Linked DNA regions of Oreochromis niloticus. The protein of the gene in region 2 binds, or shares a complex with, the protein of the main gene of each other region. Links are inferred from orthologs where the notes say so. Each region holds a gene or a part of one and is shown on either strand. Other genes may lie near its edges.

What was found. The genes of interacting proteins can lie anywhere in the genome.
Region 1: the proteins of agt (region 2) and ren are in contact, whole or in part, in a crystal structure (PDB 6I3F), measured with the Homo sapiens proteins. The link is inferred for Oreochromis niloticus from reciprocal best matches to the Homo sapiens genes AGT and REN. Residues at the interface, in NP_001369746.2 of Homo sapiens: Asp25, Tyr28, Ile29, His30, Pro31, Phe32, His33, Leu34, Val35, Ile36, His37, Asn38, Glu39, Lys91, Leu92, Ala95, Met96, Met99, Leu100, Phe103, Arg107, Arg148, Ala151, Ile152, Gly154, Gln353, Gln354, Asn355, Asn358, Glu391; in NP_000528.1 of Homo sapiens: Tyr81, Met82, Thr84, Gln85, Val102, Asp104, Gly106, Ser107, Asn109, Ser118, Arg119, Leu120, Tyr121, Thr122, Val125, Tyr126, Leu147, Arg148, Tyr149, Ser150, Pro181, Ala182, Leu183, Pro184, Met186, Leu187, Ala188, Glu189, Phe190, Val193.

The regions. Positions count from the first base shown.
Region 1 is NC_031984.2:14,940,826-14,944,578, forward strand, and holds the start of ren (renin), read left to right. Parts: upstream 1-1,241; 5' UTR 1,242-1,444; coding exon 1,445-1,521; intron 1,522-1,924; coding exon 1,925-2,072; intron 2,073-2,422; coding exon 2,423-2,546; intron 2,547-2,754; coding exon 2,755-2,873; intron 2,874-2,983; coding exon 2,984-3,186; intron 3,187-3,753. UniProt on the Homo sapiens protein: Renin is a highly specific endopeptidase, whose only known function is to generate angiotensin I from angiotensinogen in the plasma, initiating a cascade of reactions that produce an elevation of blood pressure and increased sodium retention by the kidney.
Region 2 is NC_031978.2:13,537,181-13,540,933, reverse strand, and holds the start of agt (angiotensinogen), read left to right. Parts: upstream 1-1,542; 5' UTR 1,543-1,684; intron 1,685-3,114; 5' UTR 3,115-3,152; coding exon 3,153-3,569; intron 3,570-3,716; coding exon 3,717-3,753. UniProt on the Homo sapiens protein: Essential component of the renin-angiotensin system (RAS), a potent regulator of blood pressure, body fluid and electrolyte homeostasis.

The sequences.
Region 1 (3,753 bases), on a different chromosome or scaffold from region 2:
ATGGGAATTATGAGTATCGGTTCATGGTATCGGTTAACTTTTACGAGTACGAGTACGCACACATTTTACAGTATCGGCACCGATACCCGATACCAGTATCGGTATCGGTGCATCCCTACCTTGAACTGAACTTACAGATATGCATTGTCCTTCCCTTCTCTCAATTTACATCAGAAGAAGACTGCAGACGTGTAAAACCTGACTGTTTCACATAGAAGAAATTCAAAGGTGTGTTAAATGCAGACATTAAAAACCACAACAAGACCTTTGATTAAAAACTGAAGTCGTACTGGATTTTAATAGGAACATTTGGTTAATAAAAATTAATCTTGTTTTTTTATCATTATTATTATCATTGTTTTTGTTATTTTCAAGAACAAAATCCCATCTAATGTTATTAGACACAGCTGGCTTGCCAAAGGGTCCTACATCACTTGCCAGAAAATTGCAGAGAACTTTTTTTAATATTATTTTTTTTAGCATTTGCCTTTATTAGATAGTGACAGTAGAGACAAAAAGAAAAGCAGAGAGAGGGGAAGACATGCAGCAAAAGGCCACGGGTCAGACTTGAACCCAGGCCACTACTTTTGGGCCATGGTGCATATTGGTACCTGCTCACTCACTGAGTTACACAGGTGCTCAATTTCTCAATTCTGTCTTGATTATCACGTGTTTTGACAAAGACATCTCCTATGACCTATGTAAATGGTTGGTTCAAGAAATGTGAACATTTTTCAAAAATGCACTTCTTTAATCCAAAGTGAAAGGGAAACATTTGTAGGTGTTTATGTGGGTTATTATGGATTAGATTTCCTGGTCTGGTCTGCTTCAGATCACACTGGGCAGGCTACCCATGAACTAAAACTAATTTCACACCCCTGATCTAATAAAATGAAATCATCAGCAGATTAGAGAAATAATGTAAAAGTGCACAGCGAGATCTGGATTTAAAGTGGCTTGTATTTGACTTTAGTAAACAAGCTAATCTGTCCTGACAACTCAAAGCATCATTTGGTTGCTTCGAATTTTCTCACAGCCCTTCACACAAGGTCTCCAGGTTACCTACGTCACCAATCTGCAGACCTCTTCACCCCTGCTTTCTGTCATCAGTGTTTTTTAAAGGGTCAGAGTTCACATCTTTCACTGGGACCTGTTTATCACAGAAGAGGTTGTGTGATCAAGGCAGAGGGGTAGAGTGCAAGGTGAGGGGAGGGAAGAGGGCTTGTTTTCCAGTGGTCACCTCCAGGAAAGCTCCCAACCAGAGCCGGGCCCATGGGTGAGAGCACTTAAAAGAGGGCATGGTATAAAAAGAGTTGAGGTGCACGATATCGGAGAGAGCGAGAGAGAAGAAGAGACAGCTTTCACAAAACCAGGAAAACCAACTTTTGTATACAGAACCGACATCAGCGGCCTGGATTTTCCTCCTGCCATCTGAGAAGTCACCATGGCACTACTGATAAATCAGTGGATATATTTGGTTGCTCTATCACTGACAGTGACCACGAGCCACGCTTTGAGAAGGTAAAAAAAAGAATCATTTGCATGCCTACATGATTTGCTTAAAGGATCTAACTCGCTGGATTTCTGCACTAGCATTATAGATAACATTCTGGAGAAATGTAATGACAGTAAACCATAAATTATATAAGGACATGAAAACAAATGTGTTTTATTGATTCATTACAAAAGCTAATGATTTCAGCATTTGGGTTCACATGTGTTTTTGTTCATCTATTTGGCTAGGTGCTGAGAGCAAAGCGGTCTGTACTTTGTTAAAGGTTCATACTGAGATGATCACCAGACATATGTAATAGATACATAGCACGGAAAATAAACTCCATGTACCTCTTTAACATGTCCTTAGCTATCGAGTTTCCTCTTTGGATTCATTCAGAATGTTTCCCCTTGCCCGCTCTGGTTTCAGAATTGCCCTGAAAAAGATGCCATCTATCAGAGAGACTCTGCAGGAGCTGGGGGTTTCTGTTGAGCAGGTGATGACTGAGCTGGCCCAGAAGAGCATAGCTGACACCAACAACGGAACTGTTCCCACGCCACTAACCAACTATTTGGATGTGAGAAAGCTTAATGTGATCCATTGATTAGAGCTACAGATGATAGAGGTGATAGAAAATGTAGCACTGAAACCACCTGGGTTTGCTATTTCAGTTCTGAAGATAGAAACAGACTTTAGCCTCTATGATTAAAGGTTTCATCTCTGCTCTTGGATGAGCATTGAGATGTCTTCAAGACAACAGCAGATGGACTTGCCTTTGAATTAGTCTCTTGAAATATTCTCTTTGTATGAGTCAGACTTTCCACGTTTCTCTGTCATTGGCCTTAAAAGTGACATTTAAGACGTGGGAAAACCTTTGAAAAACTATTCAAACAACAATGACGTGGGACATTTTTCCACTTTCAATAGACGCAGTACTTTGGAGAAATCAGTATTGGCTCTCCGGCCCAGATGTTCAATGTGGTGTTTGACACGGGCTCAGCCAACCTGTGGGTGCCCTCGCAAAGCTGCTCACCATTCTCCACTGCATGTTGTAAGTGCATATTCAAACATTTTTTTTTTTTCTGAACTTAGTGAACTTAATGAACTTAGAAGATGACAATATGCCAACGTTAGTTTATGCTCACTGCCCCCCCCCCCCCCCCCCCGAAAAAATAGATGCAATATTTAGGGAACATTGTTCATTAAAACTTCCCAGGTAAACATTCGCTGTTGGACTTAAATACTTTTTCAACTTTCAGTTACTCACAACAGGTATGATGCTTCAAAATCCCGGACTTACATTGAGAATGGAACAGGATTTTCCATCAAGTATGCCTCTGGAAATGTCAGGGGATTCCTGAGTGAGGATGTGGTTGTGGTGAGTTTCAAGTCAGAAACCTACAAATTAAATGGGTTTTGTTTCTTTTTTAAACTTCCTCTTGCACACTACACTTTAAACTTTTGACTAGCAGTGTTTTATTGCTGCAGGTTGGTGGTATCCCAGTAGTGCAAGTGTTTGCTGAAGCCACGGCTCTGTCTGCCATGCCCTTCATCTTTGCCAAGTTTGATGGAGTGCTGGGGATGGGATACCCCAACGTGGCCATTGATGGCATAACCCCGGTGTTCGATCGTATCATGTCTCAACACGTCCTCAAAGAAGAAGTTTTCTCCATCTACTACAGCAGGTGGGTGTAAGTAAATCAACTGAACTGACATTTTATATGAAAGGCTTTTGCGCGAGGAAAAAATAATGACAATAATTTAGATGCTGAAGAAAATGTATCAAGCTGTCAACGATATTTATGCTGCAGTGAAAAAATGAACTTGCTGCCAAGTGTTGAATTGATCAATCAGAGAGAAAAACACTATAACCATAAATAATGTCTCGTCAGAACATCTGTTAGATTTTAGGATCACGTTTTTTCAATTTCTACTTGTTGAGCTGAAAAAGTTAGAATTAGAAGAAAAAACCCAAGATCGTACGAGATGGATCTGGATCTGGGTGAGACACAAGGGTGTTGTGAGAAAATAGAAAAAAAAATTTATGTGTATTTTCTCATAGTTCTTTGTCATTTATTATATTTGGTTATATCCAGAATAAACCAGTTGAAAAAATATTATGATGTTTTCTTTTACTGTGGGAAGTGCCATACGAAAGAATTAACTTAAGCTAAAGGAACGTCCCATATGGAAATGAAATAGTGAAAAGATATAATAAATGTTTTGTGTTTTATATGTGTTGGATGTCTCATGAAACA
Region 2 (3,753 bases):
CATATTATCCTCACAGAGTATTTTGCTCCCAGACTGCTGGCTTACTCATGGATCTAGAGTTTCAGCTTTCAGGCCCCTCGGCTGTGGAACCAGCTTCCAATTCAGGTTCAGGAGGCAGACACCCTCTCTACCTTAAGATTAGAGTCTAAACTTTCCTTTACAATAAAGCTTACTGTTAGACCATCCATAGTTATGTCGCAATAGGCCTAGGCTGCCATGATGCACTGAGCATTTCTTCTCTACTTCCTTTTCACTCTCCATGTGTCATTATTTAGCTCTGGCTTTGTCTCCCACAGCGTGTCCTGTCTCCCTTGAGTCTCTTCTCTTTCTCCTCACTCCCAACTGGTTGCGGCAGATAGCTGGACCTCCTTGAGTCTGGTTCTGCCCGTTAGAAAGACGTTTTTCCTTCCTACTGTTGCCAAGTGCTTGCTCACAGAGGTTCATCTGATTATTGGGATTTTCTTTCTATTGTTGTAGCTTAAAGCATCTTGAGGCACTATTTAAAAAAATATCTGAATGGAACTGAAAATTATTTGATATTTTAAAGGAATGTTGCAGAGACTGTGATATTAGAAAAGACATACTGTATTAGTCTGAGATAGTGACAAATAAAAGAACAATCCTTCGCACTGTTATAAACATTACATGAAGTGAAAGGTCAAATAAAATTTCTTATCCCATTAACGGTGTCACAGTGTTTGTTAAAGATAAAAGCAGGAGTGTAAAACACTTGACCTGATGATGGTTCTCTCCGCTGAGAAAATCTAGTGTGCCTTGTCCTGTTGAATCAGGTGTGAGTGTGACGGATTTTCTGTACTGTAGTCACAGATAATAATTTTAAGATAAAAAAATATGATACGCATTGTCTCATAAAGAGCTATTTGAACATTTGAAAAGTGTTTGCTCTTTTCCCAGAACAGGTGGGGTTATTTTATAGTTCTTGTTCCAATGATAACACCCTCAAGACTCATTAAAATGTTACAGAGATGTCTGCAGAGTCGCTCTGTTAATCTGGCTTAGTGAGTGTTATTTTAAAAGTACACTAAAAAGAAAATATGCATTATATGGAATAAATAATGTGAGACATATGATCCATTATGGTAAAAAAAAAAAAAAAAAAAAAAAAAAAGCAAGAAAATCTTATTATTCTTAAAATTTGCTGATCTCAGGGTTGAATGAAACTTGTTTCCTCAATTCCTCTTTGACGTCTAGGTTGAGCAAAAACTCCAAAGAACATACGTAATCAATACAGAACACAACATCCCCCCATACGAATAAATACATGTGCAATATGGTGACTTTTCAGTGTATCACCCTAGAAAGATGGCAAACTGAAACAAGACTGTTTATCCCTCCTTTTCCCACTTCTTTATAGAAGTTGAGCTCTCCTTTTCACCCCATTCAGGATTTTCTTGCACCATTCTACTAAAGTCATTATATAAAAGGGCACTGGGTGGTCTCCCAAACCTACTCTCAAACCTATTTATCTATATCTCAAGCTCTGTCTGTACAAAGCAGGATGTGAGTCATGACAGGAGAGCCCCTGACTGACTCAATGGTACTTTGGTTAATCAGTAACTAGAGTGGGAGCACACAGCTGGCCGGGTGGGTTAAAGTAAGAGTGCAGAGGAGTCAGGATCTCACTTAGCACCTCATTCAGCAGCAACAACAGCAGACCCATCTGGTAAGAGAATTTTTTTTTCCTATATTTTAGTAATTGCTTTTTGATTGTGTGGTAGTTTGAACTGTTACAGATGAGGAGGGATTTTTTTTCCCAGAGTGCTTTGCTGAATTAAAAACTAAATGTGTTGAAAAGCAAGAATGTTTTAATTTGGCGAACAACAAAGCTTTGAATGTTTTGTTTGTATTTACATCTAAATTAAAATTAAATTAAAATTTGTTTCTGAAAATTTCTATATACAGAAAGAGATTTTATGAAAAATATATTTTCAAGAAAACTATTCACATTTCTGGACCTCACAAAGCACATAAGTTGTGAAGTAGCCTTTTTTTTCACCACCTCTGTTATAGAGTCAGCAGGTACACAATAGGTTGGTTGTGTATAGGAACATTGAGTGCACTGGTTTTATTGATCAGAGACCAAGGCCATGTCCTGTGGTACATGTCCTAATAGATGAAAATCTAGTGTTTGCTCACCGCTTCTAAGAGTTCATCAGTCCACACTTATGCATGTTCAAGTCAAAGGATAAAGTCCTATTTTTGCATAAGAGAGCACTTACCAAAGTCACTCTGCTTCACAGCTTTGTAGACTAATCCTTCATAGAATTAATGAAAATTGTTACTTGACTTTAGAAAACTGTCCAGTAAAATAACTTAGAACTTAAAAATTGGCCCTATAAATGGTAAAAATGGTAAATGGCCTGTATTTGTATAGCGCTTTACTAGTCCCTAAGGACCCCAAAGCGCTTTACACATCCAGTCATCCACCCATTCACGCACACATTCACACACTAATAAAATAAATTATGCATTTATGCAGCTGTGAAAGTTTGTTTTGTACTTCTATTGATTATTTCATTCTATGTGTTTTGGGTTTTTTTATGTAGTTTTTTTGTTTTGTATTTGTAGAATTGTCATTTAAACACACAAAAAAGTTAGTAACAAAATATAAATAAGTTGTTTTTTTATTTTAAGCACACTAAGTTTGTACCTGTCGTTTCAAGATTAATTTTTATAGAATACAAAGTTTCCCATTTTATTTGGGTCAGTGAACATATGCAAATACACACACACACACACACACACACACACACACACACGCACACACACACAGTCTTCATTATCTATGCGACCTTTGTTGCCGAGGGTAATGTCTGCTCTCACTCACTGACCAGCAGGAGAGAAAGCGCACAAAGAATTCAATCAATCTCTGACATGCAGGATCTGCGGCCAGTGTTCCTGCCAGCCAATCATATACAAGCTGAAAACCAGATTGAGCCTGATTTGCGATGAAAGCTGACCAAAAAGTCATGTAACATTCCCAGAAGACTTCAAACTCAGCGCTCTCCTAGCCGGGCTGACACAGAAAATGGTCAGTTATACTTGAGGTGATTGAGGTTGAAATAACTAAATATATGTCTCTCCAACCAACAGAGACAACCGTTTTAGGGTAATTTCCAACCAAAGGTAAAATGCAGAGACTGTGGTCACCTCTTCTCGTCCTCCTACTATACTGCTGCCTCTCAGGAAGCCAAGCCAACCGAGTCTACGTTCACCCCTTCTATCTTTTTGCTGCTGAGAATGTCAGCTGTGAGACCCTGCAGGCCCCCATGGTTAAGCCTCTGGAGACACTTCCTGTGGCTCCCCTTGACAATGAAGTCTTGACTCCGGACCACAGGGATCCATCAAAAGTCGATGTACAGAGGCAAAACATCACAGAGAGGACAGCAGTTTTGGCAGGGCTATTAAATGCTCTGGGCTTGAGGATGTACAAGGCTCTCAGCAGCAAGCAGCACAGCGCTAACACCCTCTTATCTCCAGTCAACACCTTTGGATCCCTGGTCACCTTCTACCTGGGAGCCTCCAGGAAGACAGCAGGTTCATTCCAGGTATTTATTTACTTTTGTTGTCACTGTTGAAGTAGAACCTGCTGAGCCTAGGCTATGTGTCTGACCATCCATCAGATTATCTGACTAAGTCTTGTACTTTCACTCTACAAAGAAGTAAACAACCTCAATTCATTTCTTTCTATCCAGCTTCTACTAGGCCTGAGTAGGGAAACTGATGGAGAGG